4 linked regions of the Yarrowia lipolytica genome follow. The protein of the gene in region 1 interacts with the protein of each later gene in a pairwise test. Links are inferred from orthologs where the notes say so. Each region holds a gene or a part of one and is shown on either strand. Other genes may lie near its edges. The genes, in order: YALI1_C30119g, YALI1_F17709g, YALI1_B18955g and YALI1_E34525g.

Evidence for each region.
Region 2: the proteins of YALI1_C30119g (region 1) and YALI1_F17709g interact in binary tests that used the Saccharomyces cerevisiae proteins (3 or more experiments, as listed by UniProt). The link is inferred for Yarrowia lipolytica from reciprocal best matches to the Saccharomyces cerevisiae genes SEC27 and RET3.
Region 3: the proteins of YALI1_C30119g (region 1) and YALI1_B18955g interact in a protein complementation assay, tested with the Saccharomyces cerevisiae proteins (2 studies listed by BioGRID). The link is inferred for Yarrowia lipolytica from reciprocal best matches to the Saccharomyces cerevisiae genes SEC27 and PRO3.
Region 4: the proteins of YALI1_C30119g (region 1) and YALI1_E34525g interact in a protein complementation assay, tested with the Saccharomyces cerevisiae proteins (2 studies listed by BioGRID). The link is inferred for Yarrowia lipolytica from reciprocal best matches to the Saccharomyces cerevisiae genes SEC27 and SEC18.

Annotation. Positions count from the first base shown.
Region 1 is NC_090772.1:3,008,209-3,014,056, forward strand, and holds YALI1_C30119g (uncharacterized protein), read right to left. Parts: upstream 3,789-5,848; coding exon 1,503-3,788; downstream 1-1,502. Other genes in the region: YALI1_C30086g (uncharacterized protein), read right to left, coding at 228-443, 876-923; YALI1_C30130g (uncharacterized protein), read left to right, coding at 4,857-4,875, 5,348-5,848. UniProt on the Saccharomyces cerevisiae protein: The coatomer is a cytosolic protein complex that binds to dilysine motifs and reversibly associates with Golgi non-clathrin-coated vesicles, which further mediate biosynthetic protein transport from the ER, via the Golgi up to the trans Golgi network.
Region 2 is NC_090775.1:1,768,160-1,772,443, forward strand, and holds YALI1_F17709g (uncharacterized protein), read left to right. Parts: upstream 1-2,805; coding exon 2,806-3,375; downstream 3,376-4,284. Other genes in the region: YALI1_F17657g (uncharacterized protein), read left to right, coding at 1-1,557; YALI1_F17706g (uncharacterized protein), read right to left, coding at 1,874-2,491; YALI1_F17756g (uncharacterized protein), read right to left, coding at 4,075-4,284. UniProt on the Saccharomyces cerevisiae protein: The coatomer is a cytosolic protein complex that binds to dilysine motifs and reversibly associates with Golgi non-clathrin-coated vesicles, which further mediate biosynthetic protein transport from the ER, via the Golgi up to the trans Golgi network.
Region 3 is NC_090771.1:1,893,045-1,897,550, reverse strand, and holds YALI1_B18955g (uncharacterized protein), read right to left. Parts: upstream 2,015-4,506; coding exon 1,115-2,014; downstream 1-1,114. Other genes in the region: YALI1_B18971g (uncharacterized protein), read left to right, coding at 398-907; YALI1_B18930g (uncharacterized protein), read right to left, coding at 2,985-3,803, 4,455-4,466.
Region 4 is NC_090774.1:3,450,246-3,456,418, reverse strand, and holds YALI1_E34525g (uncharacterized protein), read right to left. Parts: upstream 3,901-6,173; coding exon 1,471-3,900; downstream 1-1,470. Other genes in the region: YALI1_E34513g (uncharacterized protein), read left to right, coding at 5,078-5,461; YALI1_E34494g (uncharacterized protein), read right to left, coding at 5,738-6,173. UniProt on the Saccharomyces cerevisiae protein: Required for vesicle-mediated transport. Catalyzes the fusion of transport vesicles within the Golgi cisternae. Is also required for transport from the endoplasmic reticulum to the Golgi stack.

The sequences.
Region 1 (5,848 bases):
ATACTCCTACACCACTGGTATTGTTCAGTTACTGTGCTCGTATGACTACCACCTTTACAAGTGGAACAAGTGAAAATACCACCCCGTGATCCCAATAAGTACTTACAGCACAACCACAGAGCTAGACAAGCTACCATGGCCGCCTTCCTTGGGCATCAACCAAACTCTGACATCTACATCTCCCTTCACTTTCAATCTAGTTATCATACATGCTATGTAAGAACCTCTTAAATAAGGGGTCGTTCGGACTTCCACACGTGGTTGTGCTTGAAGGCCTCGGGGGCAGTGGCCTGGTCGACCTGCTTTCGGCCCTGGCCGCCGTTGAGTCGCAGATCTCGCTCCATCATCTGGGAGTCCCACTGGTCAATGGCGAATCGGTCTCGGACGCCTCCGTTTCGGTAGACGTGGAGAACCTGCATGGCTCCACCTCCAGCGGTGAGGAGCTGAGTTAGTCTATGAATGGGGGTTGTGGTCGTGTGCCTCGCGACCTTGACGGGATCGAACTACTCCGAGGCAATAAACAACAGTCTGAGAGAATAGGGAAAAGCGAAGACATGTGAGATCTGATTCCAAAGGATTCTGCGTGATACAGACATATCCCCTGCCGGCTGGGAATACCATGTCAAAGTCATTGTACGTCAGAGACTTACTGTAGCTTCCCTTCCACAGTAATGGAGTGGTCCGGTATAGCTGGTATCACAAGCATCGTTCATCAATCGTCCAGGGAATGTGGCACCTCCACTCTCGTATCGAATCGCTCTCCAGAATTTCTGCATTCACTCCTGTAACTGTCGTCTTGTAGTGTACCTCCTGTCCGGTCAAATCACAAGTCCAAAGCCATAGCTCGAGCCACAAAGCCGCCGTCTCATACTTACACCAAAAATGATACCGTAAGGGAGCAATGCCTCAAAAGGAATAGCCATTTTGTCGTGTGTCTGGTTGTGTGTTAGAAGCTGTGATGTCACTGCAAGCCGAGTTACCCAAATTTTGATTGGTGGGAGGGACGCCCTCCTAACCCTGACTTTGGAACTTTGTTTAGTAAGCGATGAGACCATTGAAAGAGATCTACTCAGCGTGATAACAAACAAAGGCACGATCAAACAGTCACATGATATAAATTACTGCTACATTCAAAAACAACCATCTCAAACCATTTCTCTACACCATCTCGACAACTGGACTATTCATACCTCTTCTACACACTTTAACGTGACATGATATCCAAGTAAACTGTTGGGAGTTAAACTAAAAATACTGTAGTTTTAGAGTAAACTCTTCGACCTCGAGCTGGACAAGGAGCTGGATATCCCCCCTGGATACTTAATCACTGTGCAATACTGTACAAGTACAAGTACACTGGATACTTCCTACAATATGTACAATATGTAACTCACCACTTCCACGGTGTACTCCGCAACAGCTCGTGCCATGCTCTCAATCTACTTATACAATGATATTTATTTAACATGACCTATTTCTACGTCCACCTCTAGCATTCCCTCTTACAAGGTGTTGGCAGCCTCATCAACCTCCTCCTGCATCTTGACCTCAACCTCAACCTCAGCCTCAGCCTCGGTCTCGGATAACTCATCCACAGCCGCGGGGTTGGGCTTCTCGGGTTGCACGTTAGTCACGGCCTCGACCTTGCCGTCCTCCTTGATCTCGACAGGAGCTCCCAGCTTGGGTTCGGCAGCCTTCTCAGCGGGCTTCTCCTCAAAATCAATCAGGTTGCCCTGAGGGAACTTGTCGGGTTCTTCACTGGGGGAAGAAATGGACTCGGCAATCTTGTCCTTACCGTTGGCGACCAGGGAAGCCTTCCACTGACCTACAGACTTCTCCACGTTACCCTTTCCGTACGACAGAGCAACGAGAGCAGCCTCCGAGTGTCGACCAGTCTTGTTAAGCAGATCAACACACTGCTTCACGGCACCGATGGACCACAGGGCGTTGAAGGCAACGTTGTACTTGCCAGCATCGGCAGCCTTGTCAGCCACCCACTCCATGCCGGCTCGGTTTCCGGTGGCCGAGTACAGCAGCAGCAGAGACTCGACCTCGGCGATGGAAGAAGACTTGAAACACTTCTCGGCCAGGTCGAAGTTCCAGGCGGCAGTGGCAGCGTCTCCAAGCAGCTTCCATCGGTGGTCTTGAGGCGATCGCTCAGCAATCTCAGAGGCCACGGACAGGTCGTTAAGTGCAAGGGCAAGATCAAACTTGTGCTCGTCGTCGGTGCTCACCTCCAAAGCAAGCTCCTTGAAGCCCTGGGCCTCCAGGAACTTGGCCACCTTAGACAGCTCCTCCTCAGGGATTGCAGGGAGGAAGTCCGACTGCGCAAGCTCGACGTCGCCTCGCAGAACAACAGTCTGGTATTCAACGAGAGGCACAGACAATCGGTACGACGACACATTGACATCCTTGTCACACAGGTAGATACGCGAGTCCTTGGACACAAAGCCAAGCAGGTACTTGGCCTTATCGAAATGTGCGACTGTGTATGTGACGCCGCCAACCAGGTAGTTGAGTCGGTTGACGGACGAGGTGTAGACGAAGCAGTCGAGCAGCCACTCTCCGGACCGAACGGAGTCGGAAATTTCGTGCAGCAGCTCAAACGACTCCTCCACACCGTCCTCGTCCACGTTCTCGGCCTCATCAACCGCGTCCTTGTTGTATCGCAGAACGTAGAAGGCGTCGGCCGAGGTGATGGCGACCAGCTCGCCAGAGTCAGACCAGTGCACGCCGGTGACACCCTCCACGTCAATTCGTCGCACCAGCTGGCCAGTCTCCCACGAGTACATGGCGACAAAGCCATGACCCTTCACACCGAGCAGGGTACCACCGAAGATGCCCTCAACGGAAAAATTGGGGTCTACATGGCCCAATGGCCGCTCCTTGAAGTTCTTGTAGACTCGCACGGAGCTGGGGGACTCAAGCACAGCGTACTCGCTGGAGTCCTGGGCCCAAACAAAGTCCAGACCGGAGCCGTAAGCCTTGTTTCGCCATGCCAGAGCGGTGTAGATGATGTACTCACCGTCACCAACAACAGCCACAAATCGGCCGTTGGGGGAGTGTCGCAGGAAGGTGGGGAAAACCTCGACGGATCCCAGCTCCTTGGGCACCAGAGCAAGGGATTCGCCGTCCTTGGCGTCCTCGCCCTTAACCTGAGCGGAATAGACTTCTCCGTGCTTGCTCCACACCAGCTTTCCAGAGCTGTCCAGAGAGATGGCAGGGTCCTCCTTACCAAGACGGAGGACAACCGCGCCGGCATCAAAACCGACAGCCACGAGGTTGGAGCCTCGCTTGACACCCACACACCAGGCTCGCTCATAGCTGTAGTTGAGGGTCTGCTCGAGCTGGTAGGTGTTAGCGTTCCACACCTTGACGGTATTGTCCTCGGCACCAGAGATGATGACGGGCAGATCGGGATGGAAGACAGCGAAGGACACGTTGTTAGTGTGGCCCTCCATGGTGGCGACGCAGGCCTTGGTCTGGTAGTCCCACACCTTGACGGTCTTATCGTCCGAAGATGTGATGAGGTAGGGCTTGTCAGCACCGGGATAGTATTCGACGAAGTTGACGCCGGCGGTGGCATGGGCCTCGAGGGTGAAGTTGGGCCGCGACACGGTGGAGGCGCCCGACAGAGACCACACCTTGACGGTTCGATCCAGACATGCGGAGGCAAATGTGTTTGTGTCCTTGGGGTTGAAGGCCACGTACATGATGTAGTGGCTGTGGCCCAGGTACTGTCGCTCCATGGTCCAGTTTGTGTCCCAGTTCCACAGCCGGATGGACATGTCGTCGCCGGCGGTCAGCACGTAGGGCAGGGTGGGATGAACGGTGATGACACGGATGTAGTCGGGGTGGGCCTCAAACTGGGCCTCCTTGGCTCCAGTGTTGTAGTTGAAGACTCGCACAATAAAGTCGTCGGAGCCAACAATGATCCAGTTTTTTCGGGCAATGAACCGACCGGCTCGAAGAGGAACATCTGCCACCTCGATGCTCTTGACCACCGTCTGTGTCTCGTAGTTCCAGATCTGGGCCACTCCCGAGTACAGAGTGGTGAGTAACCATGGCTCAGTGGGGTGGAAATCGATTCCCTTGACTCGGTCAGAACGAGTCTGCGAGTGTCGCTGTGTTAGTCGTCGTCATGGCCGCGTGAATCGCTCAATTACTCACCTTGATTTCGAGCTTCATGGTGTAGTGCTACGCAGAGTGCAATAGAGAGTTTCATACGTGTACTTGTAGTGTTCGGTAGGGTAAGTAGGAGGAGTGATGGCGCTGGGAAATGCTCTGCTCAAAGAAACATCTCCGGGGGACACAATATTGTATAATAGAGATGATAAATGGACAATAGGAAGCTTGCTCTGAATGTTCCAGTTCTCTCTCAAGATAAATACTTCCAAGTCCCACAACTTTTGGCACCAATTACGTCTACACACACACCTGATGTACAGTGTACTCGTGCTCGCCTATTGATCTCACACCACAATATGTACACGTAATGTCCCAACACCCCCAAAGGACCACGGTTTTTACCTTGGTGCTGCACGATTTTGGCTTCCGTTTTACGTGTCAGCCAAAATTCATATCGGTAGGAGATTGCACAATGACGGGAGATTGTAGAGGATAAGCGTGGAGATAAAAAGGAAGAGAATTGTATGTGAGGAAAAACGGACAGTATATATACTCTTTTGCAGCACCTTCTATTGCTCCCAAACACCTCCTATACCAGTACCAAAGCGTCAGCCCCACCCTGGACTCAGTCGGATGCACGTGAAGCCGCCGGCTTAACCTTTTTGCTACATTCCACCTCACTCACCAACTTATCATCACACGTTGTCCTACTTCTTCAACTACTAATCATGTGGATTGTCAACTGGTGTGAGTATGGATGGAATACAGGGGCACTGATTGGTCGCTTGTGTTTGTGTACTTGTTACACAGACGCGGAGGCTAGCGGAAAAAAAGAAATCAGATCAAGTGGCGATACACGATACACGACAAGCTCTACAGCGACACGGGGGCTTCGTGACTTGAAATCCCGGAGGTGAAAACACAGTTAACAGAGACTGGCGACTTAGGGCTGTTCCAGAGACTCAAAAACAGGTACCGATGCCGTTTTTTGCCCCTGTTGCATTCATCAAGTTGCGGTTTGATGCCGTTCAGGGTTGCTCAACCCCCTGAAGATACACGGTTGCTCTGCTGTTATACCCTAAACAGTCATACGGTGGTATTCAACACAAGCAAACTCTCTGTGCCGTTATTGTACTGCTTAAACAGCAAGTCTGCTATCGTATCGCCGCTCAATTTCGCTTCACTCGCTTTTTGATTTGCCCCCCTTTTGCTAACCTAGTCTACGACGTTCTGTCCTCTCTCGGACTATGGAACAAGAACGCCAAGCTGCTCTTCCTCGGTCTCGATAACGCCGGAAAGACCACCCTGCTGCACATGCTCAAGAACGACCGAATGGCCGTCTCTAACCCCACCGTGCACCCCACCTCCGAGGAGTTGTCCATCGGCAACTGTAAATTCACAACCTTTGATCTCGGTGGACATATCCAGGCCCGACGAGTGTGGAAGGACTACTTTCCCGAGGTCAACGGCATTGTTTTCCTCGTCGATGCCGCCGACCCTACTCGATTCGCCGAGTCCAAGGCCGAGCTCGACTCTCTGCTTGCCATTGAGCAGCTCAAGACTGTGCCCTTCTTGATTCTTGGAAACAAGATCGACATGCCCCAGGCCGTTTCCGAGCTCGAGCTCAAGGACGCCCTTGGACTGTACCAGACCACCGGTAAGGGCAAGGTGCCTCTTGAAGGCAACATCCGACCCATCGAGATTTTCATGTGCTCCATTG
Region 2 (4,284 bases), on another chromosome or scaffold:
CATCTCGGCGAGAGCATGAAGCATCTTGTGACCGGTGGAAACGTTTCGTCGTCAGTACAGAGTGCTCTGAGTTCTACAGAGCCCACATCCTTCTCCTCAGCTCCTTCTGGATCCCAACCCATTCGATACATGTGTGATTTGGGCTCTGTCGAGATGTTTATTGTGCGGCATGTGGCCGTCATGATGCTTAGGGACTTGGTGAAGGAGTGGATGTCGTTCGAAGAACTACTGGAGATGATTGACGTGAAAAAGTCGTTATCATTCTGGGAAAAGTTTGGGAAAGCATTTGGAGGCAAAACCAACGACGGCGAGTACACTGCCTCGTGGGATTTCGACTACCGTGCAGCTGCTGAACGAGGTCTTCCTCCTCGCAAGGGCTCAAAGGGCGAAAAGAACGACAAGAGCGACAAGGATTCCGTTGTGGTCTTTGGCGGCAACCTGGACATTCTGACTGAGAAGTTTGGAGTCGAATCACATCTCGGCGTGTCCCCACAGCACAAGATGCGCATCCCGCGCTTTGTGGAGGACTGTATTGATGTGATGAAGACTCAGGACATGACCATTGAAGGTGTCTTCCGTAAGAACGGTAACATCCGACGGCTCAAGGTTGTGACGGAGGAGGTGAATAAGAGCGCCACCAAGACGTCTGATTTCGCCAAGGAGAACTCTGTGCAGAATGCTGCTTTGTTCAAGAAGTTTCTGCGAGAGATGCCCAATCCTCTCTTTACCTTTAAGCTGCACAAGCTGTGGATTTCGTCCCAGAAGATCGAGGATGCCACAACTCGAAAGCGAGTGCTTCATTTGGCTGTATGTCTGCTTCCCAGGTCTCACAGAGACGTGACCGAAGTGCTACTCCACTTTCTCAAGTGGGTAGCCTCCTTTTCTCACATTGACGAAGAGAGCGGTAGCAAGATGGACGCTCATAACCTCGCCACCGTCATCACTCCGAACATTCTCTATCCCAAGCCCACCGGAAAAGACCATGGTCCTGGAAGTGCCGGTACTCCTGGCTCTGCTGATTCAGCCGCTGCCGCTGCTGCCGCCGCCGCTGCTGCTGCTGCTGCTGCTTCTGCTGGAGGTGGAGGTGATGGCTACTTTCTGGCCATCGAGGCTATTCATACTCTCATTGAGCACCATGAACTGTTCTCTGAGGTGCCTGCCGATCTTCTAGAGGTGCTCAAGGAGACCAATCTGCGAGCCGCGACTGCAGACATCACTACCAAGGAAATCATGACACGATATGACCAGATGATGGGCGACCCGGCTGCACGCGCGCGCATTGAGGCCATTCGAAAGCGCCAGAGCTCCGGGTTCCGCACGCCCTCCATGCAGGTCTCCCACCTCAACAATCTCACTACGCCGGCCATGGCTGGCGAGACCTCCGAGACTAACACCGGGGGTCTCCATCCTTCGGACGCAGCCGACTGCTCGGACCGTATGCACTCCATGGTGAGCACGTCGTCCGTCGGCGAGCAACGCCCTGTGCCTATTAGGATCAACACAGAAATGATCCAAAAGATGGCGTCACGACAGGAGCGTAACACTGCTATTGTTTAAGCAAGGTGGTCCAAGGATGTAACTATTTATGATAATGACTGTATATTAGTAATGAGCTTTTCAATTGTAGTAAAGGACTAGAGGGCTGGCTGAGGCCAACAAAGACCAACAGAAGTCATATTGGTTAGCATTGCCAGTGGGGCTACATATAAGTGTCCAATTGAACATCACAGGACAATAAAGGTTTTAACTGTTCTTTCACGCCAAGTAGGTAGTCTCCTGAGCCAGGAAAAGGTCCAGGGTTGTATATTAATGCTATAATACAAGGGGCAGGTGCCATGCAAAGTGGTGGGCGGAGCCAGGCGATACTTGTCCGTCACGACTTGGTCGTCTCCTGTCTCGATTCGAAAAACTCCTCCATACTGGGTCCTCCTGCAATCTTCAGGTCCAGCTTGTCTTCGAATGACGGTCCTAGCACGGTATCTTTGAAACGCGCTGGACCCACCATCTTGGTCTGTTTGTTGATGAGTCCCTGCAGCCACTCCACCTCTTCCTGGGGGGCGGCGTCCTCTTGTTTTTTCGCCGTGATGCCGTACGTGGACGGCGCCATTGCTGCTGCTGGCTGTGTAGCTTGGCCAGTGTTGTTTGCTACTCTGCTGATTCTCCGGGCCTCTGCTGGTCCAGGTCCCTTGGCCCACTTGACAAAGTCCTGCATGCCCTGGTCGCCCTGAGGATCGGTATCGTAGGGGTCGAGTAGCACCACTGGTTTGATGACATGTGTGTTTGCCATGGCTTGTGCCACGTCTGTGATGATGGCGTCAAATCGGCCTCCGTGATGCGCCAGATTCATCGTCTCCGTCGCCAGCAGATCGAGATGCCGAATGTACAGGTCTGTGATTGTGTCCAGCACCGAAGGCGGGCATCGTTCGATACCGGCCACTCGAAGCAGTTGCGCCACTGATATGCGGGCCAGAGCAAAGTAAAAGTCTGACATGGAGGAAGTGTGGGAGAGAGGAATGGATGTGTGTTGCAATCGTGTGCGTTGCTTTTGTGTGTGTGGTGTAGGATAGCTGCGTTTGTGTCCGCGTATGTGTCTGTGGCTGCGTTTGTGTCTGTATTTATGCGGATTGTGCGTGTGCCGCGTTTGTCGTCACTAGGTTGGTGTGTCTGTCTGTCTCCATCCCTTGTCACTAAGGTTTTAAACTGGAGATGGAGGTTGGGCATTTTAAACTTCGCTACGTGTAACATAACACCTAACTGCTCTCTAGAACGGCAGATCACGACACATTCACACAACCACACAGAATCATGACGTCGGAATACTCGGTAGAGGCAGTGCTGCTGCTGGACAAGGACGGAAAGCGACTCTTCACCAAGTACTACTCGCCCCCACACGGCGACGTGCAATCACACGAGCAGCTTCAGACCCTGACGACACTCAAGGACCAGCAGACGTTCGAAAAGGGCCTGGCGCAGAAAACCCATCGACAGAATGGTGACGTCATCATCTTCGACAACAAGGTGGTCGTGTACAAGACGGTTGTGGACGTGACTCTGTACGTGGTCGGATCGTTTGAGGAGAACGAGGTGATGCTGTACCAGCTGGTTGCCGGCATCAAGGACGCGCTGGAGATTCTGCTCAAGCACTCGTTCGACAAGCGGTCTGTGCTCGAACACTTTGACCTGGTGGCTCTGGCTATCGATGAGGCCGTCGACTCGGGCGTCATTCTCGAGATCGATCCCGTCGTCATCGCAAGTAGAGTCACCCCCGCACCCGCCAAGGAAAGCATTGCGTACGGAGGAGTGGAGATCAACGAACAAACCATCTCGAACGTGTACCAGAAGTGGTCGCAGCGAGCTGGCAAGTTTTTCAGCTAGATGGAGGATGTATATGGAGGTAATAAGATGGATTTTGTGCAACATGTAGCGCGACTGTGACCCAGCTGCTCGGTGAGGGCCATCTGCTTGCGTTGCAAGTACTGTACTATAGATAAATATTGTGTTTTTGTGTGTTTTGCAATCGTAATTGGTTCAATTGAATAGTCGTATTGAAGTGTTAGTCGATCCTCCAAGTGCTGTTACGCTTGATCAAATTGTAACTAAGACAGGCGACAGCTGTGAGCTGCGTACTTGTACTTGGACAATAGACCAAGTTTGCGGGTGTAAACATGATTGTACAGGCTCAATTGAACAGTATCGACCGCTTATTCATCACAATGACATTCAGCGGTGAACGTCTACAAGTACCGGCATATTGTGCTAACTAAATTCTTGAACCAAGAACCATTGAAGTTACAGGCGTTGTACTTGTACTCATACTTGCAAATAATCAATGCGATTTTGTGTCGGCTGTTCGCTGAAGGGTCGTCTCATTGAGTCAATGAGTTGCTGGTCATAATCTGTCGTTGAACAGAAAGTAAGTCCTGTGACAAACTGTCATCTATTGGACTTGTTGTAGCTAGAAATCATCTAAAATCTCGTTGTTTGTACCATTGAGGGCTACAAGTACAGTATCGTACCAAATGTCTTCCATCTACATCATCTTCATGGTCAATTACTACTATATGCAAACATGGTCTATCGCTTCTTTCTGCCTCGGTTCTTGGAGCCCTTGGTCTTAGACGAGGGGCCAGAACCTCCCTGGACACCGGGCATGACAAGTCGGACTCGACCAACAGCCACAGGTTGTACCAGCTCAGTGTCCTTGAGTCCTCCAATGATATCAATCTCGTTGGGCCAGGGCATGTCGGTGTCCTGCATGGTAGGGTCCGTCTTGGCGGTGGTCAT
Region 3 (4,506 bases), on another chromosome or scaffold:
AAGAACAAGGTCCTGGCGTGCTTTGCATCTCCCATACCTTTTCGTCTAGCCCGAAAGGGCAACGTACATCTATGGATGTTAGGGGAGAGACCCATGGGAGTAATACTGTACATGTCACATGTGAGTCTCAGCTCACGCGGCATCCCTGAAGCTCTTCGACCAACATGTCCACTGTGGATGCTTTGGGACTCTTACATAATATTGTCGTTCACAGAGTATAAGCACGTTGACGAGGGCTCTTCTGTCGCCGCTTACCATTCCCCCAGCTACGGGACTGCTTCAGAACAATGCATAGACATGTGCGTTTAGGCGCCTTTAAATTTTCCCTTCTACTTGTACTGTACTTGTACTGGTATCCAAACCAAAATTAACGTTGTTCCAGTGGCTCTAAACTTCAATGGCGTTGCTTTCTCTTGTCTGGACAAAAATTGGTGTTGTGCACCTAAAATGGGCCACGCATAAAATCAGTCGCAATAGCTTGACCCGACGGCCTCATCTAAAAACGGCGGAAAAAAAACAAAAAAAAGATATGGCGCGACTGGCAAGACTGGCTACAGCTCAAGACTACACCGTGGTCGACATTAGAAACGTGTCGCAGTCTCTTATTCGGCAGATGGAGTGGTTGGAACAAGAGATCCAAGCTTCAGCGAATCGCGTGGTGCAGCTGGAAGATAATGGCGATGACGAGGCCGAGGGTCCAGCACAAGCTGCGGCACCACAGGTCAACAACGATGAGCTAAGAGCAGACGTTCAGAAGAAACTGACACCATTGTGGCAGGGCTCCCTGAAGCTGACTCTGTCTGACTCTAACCAGCAGCTTGTCTACGCCATCGAGCGGGTACGTGTTGCTCAACTGCACCGTCGGGACATCATTGGAGCTAAAGTGAGTATTTCTTATTGGTCTTGACAATCATCAGGTAGAATTTCCATTATTTTCTCTTCTTATATATATGCCGTTCGACAGTTTGATCCGTCCCCTTGCTAACCCAGATTACTCTGAATGAACCTGAAAAGGTACTCGACATGCTCATGATCACTCCTGAGTGCGCAAAAGTCACCACATTGGGAACCAACATGGACCTCGAGGCAAAACTAGCCCAGCTCCAAGAACAACTTATTTCTTAGCAGCACCGCCACCAAGAGACTTAGCGATGTTAGTGGACTCCTCCACGGCTCGAGCAACGGAAGATCGAACGCCCTTGTCCTCCAGAGCAAGCAGTCCTCCAATAGTGGTTCCGCCAGGAGTGCACACAGCGCTCTTGAGGACGGCAGGGTGCTGGCCAGACTCAACAACCATCTTGGCAGCTCCCAGCATGGACTGAGCTGCACACTGGAAGGCAGTGTTGTAGGGCATGCCCATTCGAACAGCACCATCGGCCAGAGCCTCGATAATGAGGAAGCAGAAAGCAGGGGAAGATCCACACAAAGCAGTGGAGACGTCCATTTGCTTCTCCTCGAGGGTGATGCACTTTCCGGTCTGCTCAAAGATCCAGGACACAGCGTTGACAACGCTCTCGTCAACGGTAGCGTTATCGGGGAACGACAGAACGGTCATACCGGCTCCGATTCGAGAAGGAGTGTTGGTCATGGCTCGAACAACCAAAGGCTTGGGGCATCGGCCAGAGTAGCTCTCAATGTCGGCAATGGTCTTTCCGGCAAGCAGCGAAACCAGAACCTTGCCCTCCAGCATTTGCTGCAGAGGAGTCAGGATCTTCTCGGCCATGTAGGGCTTGGATCCGAGAACAAACACATCAGCCTTGTAGGCAGATCCGTTGTCATTGATAAGAATCTCGACGGGAATGTCAGGGGCAGAGGAGGTCAGATCCTTGTGCAATCGGTCAGCGGACTCCTGTCGGGTCACACAGGCCATGAACTTGCCGGGCTTCGGGGCGTCACCCTCCTTGTTACCCTTGCTTAGAGAATCGAGCACAGCTCCTAGCACGGCAGTACCCATGGTACCGCAGCCGAGGAAACAGATTGTGTAGCCGTCCTTAAGTTGAATATCCACACCCATTGTTGATTTGCAATTCGTTGTAGAAAGGTGAAGTTTGGTGGACAAACTGCACGTATGTTGTATTCTCACTGCACAGTGTCCCGAAGAGAGCCGAACTCTATCACCCCACAAGTGTTACAGTAACAAGGCCTGAGTTGACTACAAGATAAGTACAAGTACATGTGTGAGTACCCATCAAACAGCAAAATTCATGACTAATTAGAGTAGAAAATTACGCCTCAGGATCTAGATAAGCCATGCCATCAACTAGACCCAAGTCTATACCCATCAAACCTCCTCTATTTGCCCAATCGTACATTGTTAAAGTGCTCGCTGTCTTGTCGAGCTTGCGACTCCTTGTACATCGTTCTCACTCACGAGTACAAGCAACTACGATACGATGAGTCCACTTATCCAAACTCGATATGACTGTGCAGCAGCAGATTACCCGACCACTATCATACCCCCGACACACAAGAGCAGTCACTACTCCTACGAGTACTTGTAGACTCAACCAAATCCGCTTAGGACTAGACTCAGCGGGGATATATCGGCTCACATGATTTCGTTTACACATGTACGGTATATCTAGGCACTAATCGACAGAGTTCCAAAAATACACTCCTCCGAACTTAGCTGCAGTGTTGCGTGTGCACATGTGCGGACGACATCCGCGCACTTAACGCTTTGGTGACTATTTGTATGTAGAAGTGGTCCATCTTAAACAGTAATAACAATACAATTAGCCAACTACAGTCAAATCATCATCTTGAAACTCACTGTATGAAGAGACGCCTGAAACACTACGTTTGAGGCTTCATGTCTTTTTGTTTCACCAGTATGACTCATCATTTGATTAAAACACCTCAAAATACAATACGACATACACGAATTCTTTTGCAAGCATGTGTTGTGAGGGAGCCTCATTATAGCTATACGAACCTTTCCATCACACTCTTAATTGTTTTTACATAAAAATTAAAGCACTACTCTACTCCTTGGGCTCCTCAGCAGCGGGCTTGGCCTCCTCCTTGGGGGCAGCAGCCTCGGTGGAAGCAGCGGCAGCATCGGTGGCAGGGGTCTCCTCAGACTGCTGGGCTTGCAGAGACTCTTCGAGGTCGTTCTTCCAGAGGGTCAGGTTGTCTCGCAGAAGCTGCATAATGACGGTAGAGTCTCGGAAAGACTCCTCGGAGAGAGTGTCGAGCTCAGCGATGGCATCATCGAAAGCCTGCTTGGCAAGGTGGCAAGCACGGTCTGGCGAGTTGAGAATCTCGTAGTAGAAGACGGAGAAGTTGAGAGCGAGACCAAGTCGGATGGGGTGAGTTGAGCTGAGCTCAGTCTGGGCAACATCAGTGGCGCTCTTGTATGACTCGTGAGCGGCAGTGGCAGCCTCTTTTCGCTTCTCGCCGGAGGTGAACTCGGCAAGGTATCGATGGTAGTCACCCTTCATCTTGTAGTAGAAGACCTTAGACTCGGCGTTCTCGGCCTTGGGGAGGAGGTGGTTGGTGAGGATATCAAGAACATCGCTGCAGATGTCTTCGAGCTCTGCCTCAATCTTGGCTCTGTAGGTCTTGAGAAGCTCGAGATGGTGGGTGGCACCCTTGGCCTCCTCCTTCTGCTCTATGGGGAAAATGACTCTCCAGCTGGCTCGTCGAGCGCCGATAACGTTCTTGTAAGCGACGGAAAGCAGATTTCGCTCGTCGACAGTAAGCTCCTCACCGGACTTAGCGACGTCCTTCATGTAGTTGACCATCTCGTCGTATCGGTCAGCCTGCTCACAGAGCCGGGCAAGGAAGGTCTTGGTTTCTCTCTAATGGTTAGTATCTGTGTTGATGAGGGGTGTACTCACACGATATATGATGGATTCATCACCAAAACGTTATCATCTGCGTTTCTCATCGGCTCGTCGTGACCGCTTCTTTTCTCGCTGGGTTGTTGCAGTCGTCGTCACACACCATCATCATCATCTAGTCATCTTCGTAGCTACTCGGTGTGGGGGAATAAACCCACCACACAATGCTGGTTGCAAACGGCCATCGCAATTGAATCAATCCATCACATCATCCGCATCATCCGTTTGCGGTTCTGCGGTTGTGATGTCGTGGCAAAACACATGGGGCACACATATGCAAACACAAACGCAATGAACACGACAGCCCAAAACTGGGCAGAATAGGGAGGCACATGCAAAAAACAGCGTGGCAGGTGGCGGCGAGAGGGGAATTAAAGGGCACCTGGAGAATGGATGACGGCGGAGACCTTGGATGTGTGATGGATGTGCGATTGGGCGAGATTGACCTTCGATTTGTCGCGTGTGAGGGGCGCAGCAATGTCACAGACGTGTGGTGTGTTTGGGGAGTTGAAGCGGGAGAAAAGAGGCCACGAGGGCAGATGGCGCATCGCAGAGATGGATTTGGTGGTTTCCAGTCGTGGTTTGCCGTGGCAATCGCTCAATATTTACCTCAGAAGACATTGTTGTCGTTGTACTAGTTGGTGCAATTCAGGATTTGGCC
Region 4 (6,173 bases), on another chromosome or scaffold:
CCAAATTCGTATCCCCTCCACCTGCTAGTGGGCTATGTCAATGTCACACCCTCCCCCTTGGGCTCACGTCTCATCACGTCTGCCAAAATTATAGCCGTGGGCTCAGCAGATGTCAACAAAGCCGTCGTAGGCAACATTGACGTCTGATTTAGCTGGTAATATTTGACCTCGAGCTGTATTTGGACAGAGCTGTAAGAAGGAGGGGCCTAGAAAGAATGCAGTGTTTTCTGGAGATCCCAGATCCTTGTCTGTGGCACTCAGTCCGTAGAACAACTGTCATAGTGGACTCTGACAGCTCAGGATCAAACTTGACATTCTGACATGGGCAGACACATTGGGCCTTCTAACCAACGCATGTTACGCATAAAATGGTTGACGTATAAAACACGTTCACGATTGCAGAAAACCACACAGTATCTATAATTACATGTACTATCCTAGAACGCCCTCCCATAGCTTTTTGCTTTTCACACCCTACCACCCCCTCGCTGAAACCTACCCAACCCGATCGAGGTACAGGAGGTCGGTGAACAATCAGTCCGGCGACTGTTAGACTCGGTGATTGAAGTCCACGCTAAAGCATGCAACAACTACAAGCTAAGAGCTACTACCCCAATCCAATACCACGCTCAATGTAACTGCAAAAATCTCCGAAAATTCCGAACTCATGTTCCCCTGCAACCAACTCCTACCACCTTTAATTTTATTTACGAGGTGGTATTTTGGGGGGTTCCAGTGATGACGATCTCGCTACACCGGCTAGGGCAGCTCCTTCCATTTTTGTTTCCCTAGAGATGATCTAAACCAAAAGAATGTGGGTTATATTATGTCACTGCTAGTCTCTTCACATACAAAGAAGACGAGCAACTGTCACTGAGTCAATGGCATGTGAAGTACAATACAAGACTGGGACCAACATGACGTCAGATGGCCAAATACCATTGCCCAGTACGAGTAAGTATCTACTTGTAGTGAAGACATGCACAAGGTACGCTACGGTTGTATACTGTACTATACTGTGTTGTACGGCGATAAGACCACCACTTCGCTCAAAGTGCTTTAAGTGCAGTTATATCCGCTTGAATAGTGCCAGTCTAAAGGATGTGTACTGTACCTACCGTAGTAGCCCTGTCACTGCACTTGTTTCCCAGAAGACCCTACGGAGTGCTACTTGTAGTCGCTAATTTGGTTTCTGCCCTCAACGATAATTATTATTTCGCCTAACAGCTGTTTTGGGATACCTGTTAGCTCGTGTGTGGGCTGAAAATGCTACGGTGGTTAACTATGGCATGCGTGTGAATGCAACTCGTCCTACATGTTCACTCGCGTCCTGTTGCACTACACTGCCCAGGTTGCTACCAGTTGTTTTGTGTCCATCACTGGTTCATGATAGTTTGTTTTGCGCATCCGTTCCGCTCTGCCATTGTCCCATCATTTCAATCTCATGTATTCTATTCTAATCGTGATTCGTTAAACATACTTGTTTCGTCGGGCGTTTATATGGTCAACCATAAAATCGACAAACTCCTCCTCAACATCTGAAGAGTACTGGGCAGTCTTGAGACCAGACAGCAGAGTCTTGATACCAATGGAAGGCACGGTAGATCCAGTCTTGGCCTCGATGGACTGTACAACCCGGTGTCGAGCCTCGGGAGAGTCCAAGAACTGCATAGCGTCCAGTACCTTGTTGAGCTCCTTGAGAGACTGTAGGTAAGGTACGCCAATCTCGGAGTCAAACGCGGAAATCAGATCCATCTGCTCAAGAACGTGTCGCTCATGAGTAGTAACCAGAATTAGCAATCGGCAGCCCTTGGGAGGAGTCTTTCGACACAGAGTCTTGACGGCCTGCAGCAGAGAGTTTGAGAACCGGGGTCCAATCTGGACCCACTCGAGAATGATCTCAATAGAGTCAATCACAATGACGGACAGAGGAGACTTGTAAGCATCCAGGAAACAGTTCTGAATGGCAGTGATCTTAGATGCCTCGGACATACCAACATAGCCTTCGGGAGAGATGAGTCGCACGAAGGGGAAGTTCGACTGCATGGCAATGGAAGCTGCGAGAGCAGTCTTACCAGAGCCAGCAGGGCCGTGAAGCAGCAGAGAAGCCAGAGCACGGTCGCCAGAAGACTGTCGAACTCGCTCAATAAATAGCTCTCCCTTCTTGAGAATGTCATCAATGTTGGGAGAGTACTTGATGATACCACCAGAGACGGCAGCATCGAGATCCTCTTCGGAGACACCAAACGCGGGACGCACTTCCTGGAGGGCATGCACAAAGTCGTCCCGCATTAGCATGAGCTCTCCGCCCTTCTCCTGTCGCACGCCTCCTCCACCTTGGTCCAACTTGAGGTTTCGAGTGAATGCATAAGAAGCAGCAGAGTTAAGCAGACCCTTAATTTCGGCACCAGAGTAGTTCTTAGTCTCTCCAGCAAGCTCGTTAAGATCCACATCTCTGCCCAACTTTCCTGCAGCAGTCATAGGCGCGGTGTGAATCTTGAGAATTTGCAGACGGCCAGCCTCATCAGGAAGGGGAATCTCAATCTGGACCTCGAATCGACCAGGTCGCATCAGAGCAGAATCAATCAGATCCTTTCGGTTGGTCATACCGATAACCAGAATGTTATTGAGCTGCTCCACACCGTCCATCTTAGCGAGCAGCTGGTTGACGACGTTGTCTCCAACACCGGTACCTCCACCGGTGGAGCCTCGCTGTTTGAAGACAGCATCCAACTCATCGAAAATGATGATGTGAAGACCGGAGTCATCGCCCTTCTCTCGGTACTCCGCCTCGGCGTCCTTGAACAAGTTTCGAATGTTCTCTTCGGAAGCACCAACGTACTTGTTTAGGATTTCGGGACCGTTGACAATCTTGGGTTCTCGAGCGTTGAGCATCTTACCAATTTGTCGGGCGATTAGAGTCTTACCTGTACCGGGAGGTCCGAACAACAAGATACCCTTCACGTGGTTGATACCAAGGGCCTCGACATCGGCAGGAGAGTAGATTCGAGAAGCGAAGGCTCGTCGGAAGATGTTACCAAACTGGGCATCAAGACCACCAATACCGAGATCCTGGAATTTGAAGTCGGGCTGAATGATAGCGTTCTGTCGGGGTTTGTTCTTGGCGCTCTTGAGGTTCATGGCCGATCCCTTGGCCTTGTTGAAACCGATATCGGTGTGTCGAACGAGAATACCTCGGACGTTTCGGGCAGCCACTCCGCCAGCGTCTCCCAGATTGACCACCGAGGTAGAGAGCACTCTGATCTGGAAATTGAGGCCCTCGAAGTCCATAGCCAGGGTCTGTCCAGGGGTGAAGATCTGGTTAGCGTACTGGTGCAGGAAGTGGTGAGCGAGCTTTTCGGGCTCAAAGGATCGGGATCCAGCTCCGCTGGCCGCACTGGCAGACAGGAAGTCGATTTCCAGCTCCAGGTTGCCCAGATACACCTGCTGTGTCTTGTGGAAGGGGTCGTAAGGTGCCACATGGACAGTCATGTTTGTGCTGAGAGCTGCCCATCGTCGCTGCACTGCTCCGGCAAGGATCTGGCCGGGAGCAGCATGTGGCGACTGTCGCACGGTGAAGACGTGCTGGTTGTTGATAATGACGTAGTCTCCGTCAGCAAAGGTTCCAGGGGGCACTTCGAGGAGGTTGGCCAGGGCAAACGCCTTGTCCTTGCCCACTCCCAGAATCATATCGCCACCGTGACCGGAAGGAGGTTGTCTGTGCTGCTGAGGAGGAGGGGTCTGGTGATGAGGAGGCATGGGCTGTCCCTGAGTAGGTGCCCGTCTAGGAAGACCAGGGTTGTTCATTGTTCGGGGGGAATTGGATCCGGAGTGAGTAGGAGAGTGTTGTTCAGGAACCCGGTATGGATTCTGATTGTCCTTTTTGCCAAAACCGAACATGAGGGGAATTGGGTTGCGACAAGAGAGTGTGAGATGTACGTGGTCGTATCACGTGGATGCAGGACGATGCGGTCTTAGTGATGTTGGGAGAGTGAAGAATGGGAGTTGGGACAAGACAAATAGTGCAAGTCTAGCGTTATAAGTAACAGCAGATCAGAGAACGTCTAAGAACAATTGGATTTGCATTAATGCCTGGCTTCGACTAAGTGGATTACAGTATTGCTCGCCGGAGCCGTGGCTATAGGTACTGTATGTGGCTTTTACTTATTTATTGCAACACAGGAGAGTCACACCGTGGGCCCCGAGTACGAAAGTTGGTTACCACCTTACCAGTCTAACTACTTGTAGCTGTTATAAGTACTATAACAAGTATGGCGTCCCAGTTCGAGTTTCACGAACGCCGGATTAATAACAAAACACCATAAGATAGACAGGCGCTCCGACACCACCAGCCAATATGGAAAGAGCTGAGTGATTATTTACAGAGTGGTGGGCTACTTTGGAGGCAACCTCCAACTCTGATGCACTTTCAGCCGTTTACATACTTGTATAGAAGAAGCGCAGTTCCCATAACTACAGCCTCTCGACCAGAGTCTGCTGACATTGTTTGACCAAAACTAAAAACACATTGAATTACAATTCAAGGCTTCCACACATAGTCGAATAACTGTATACTGTAGGAAATATGGTGTTTGAGATGGAGGAGAAAGATCTTTTCAACGTGCTCAATCTGCCCTCCGATATTCTTAGATCAACCCCTTTAAATATCCTCATTTCCTGCTACTTGTAGCGACGTCATGGGTTCGCTTAACGGCCGCTACTTCTGAGTCTCCAGCCTCTCTATCTCCATAATAACGTAACGCCATTCCATTAACGCGGAACCTTACTCAGAGGTGCTAAAGGGTCTATATATACTGCAATATGGGGATATTGATAGTCGATTGGGATTACTAACATTGCTCTACAGTACACTTTTATTCAACTTTTCCGTATTCAATTCCGACTACTCTCGTCATCATTCTAACCGAAAACAGGAAACACATCGTTCTGGTCCAAACCCTCCAACCCACAGTACTGCTCGTACTTTAATCAACAAATATCTCCCAAGGAGCCTGAACTTAGACATCTGTATGCGCCAACTATTCACGTAACGTGATATCAGCTGAGGTCCCGAACCATGGCCAAACGACCTCGATCTGCATCGCACCACGTGCCTGTGGCCTACCATCCCGGGTCTCTGGTGTCTCTCAACCGCACACAACGAAAACTCACCGAATACAGCGAAATCGCATCTTGGGGATGGATCCTACTCATCACAACATGGTCTCTGATCTTCTTCGCAGTCTTCACGATGTTTGATCTAGATATCTACTTGTTTGGATCGAAGACAGACCGCAAAAATATGCACAAGGCTCCTGATGATGACGACGACTTCCCCATCAGAATGTACTATCCAACGTCCTTCTTCCTGTCCCTCGTCATGGCTTGGGTCTGGTGTATCGTCAGTTGGATGGGTCTCAAATTCTTCAAACACGCCAAAGTTGATCCTACCAGCAGGTGAACGAGGTTATTTCAAGCTGCAATTACCACCTTCTACACACATCTACACACTTCACCGACTACACCTTGCACCGACTACACATTTCATACTAACACTGTACAGCACATAGACTAATATCATTTATAGAGCATGTCTGCATTGTTTATATAGGTGCTGGGTAGTTGTTTAAACAGTGCTCCGAGTCACATTCTCATTTAATGTAATGGTATATCATTCATCCATGGTACGTACTATCTGTTGCAAGGCATCAATACATACATCTTCAATCCCAGTCTCCTAAAGCATAGCACCTCGTCGGCGAGCAGCTCGAGGGACCTTCTTGCCGTTGGGAATCTTCTTCTTTTGCGCCTGTTCTCGCTGCGCCTTCTCCTCCTTCTCTCGCTGCTCTCGCATCTCGTTGGCGTCAGGATAGTCCACGATCCAGTCTCCAACTCGCAGCTGGTTGGCGACGAAACTACTCGTCAATAGACCCCACTCGGAAATGTCAGGAAAGTGAAGATTCTTGGCGTTGTCGTCAATCTTGTGCCAGACAGGGGGGAAATGGCTGGGGATCAAATGCAGAACAGGCACTCCTCGGTGCAGAAAGGGGAGGTGGTCATCACCAATAACAGCTCCTCGAAAGAATGCGGGCTTTCCCTCGGTGAAGATGGTCTCCTTCTCATCCATACGTGCACTTAGACCGATATCCCGGATTCGCTGCTCCAGAGAAGCA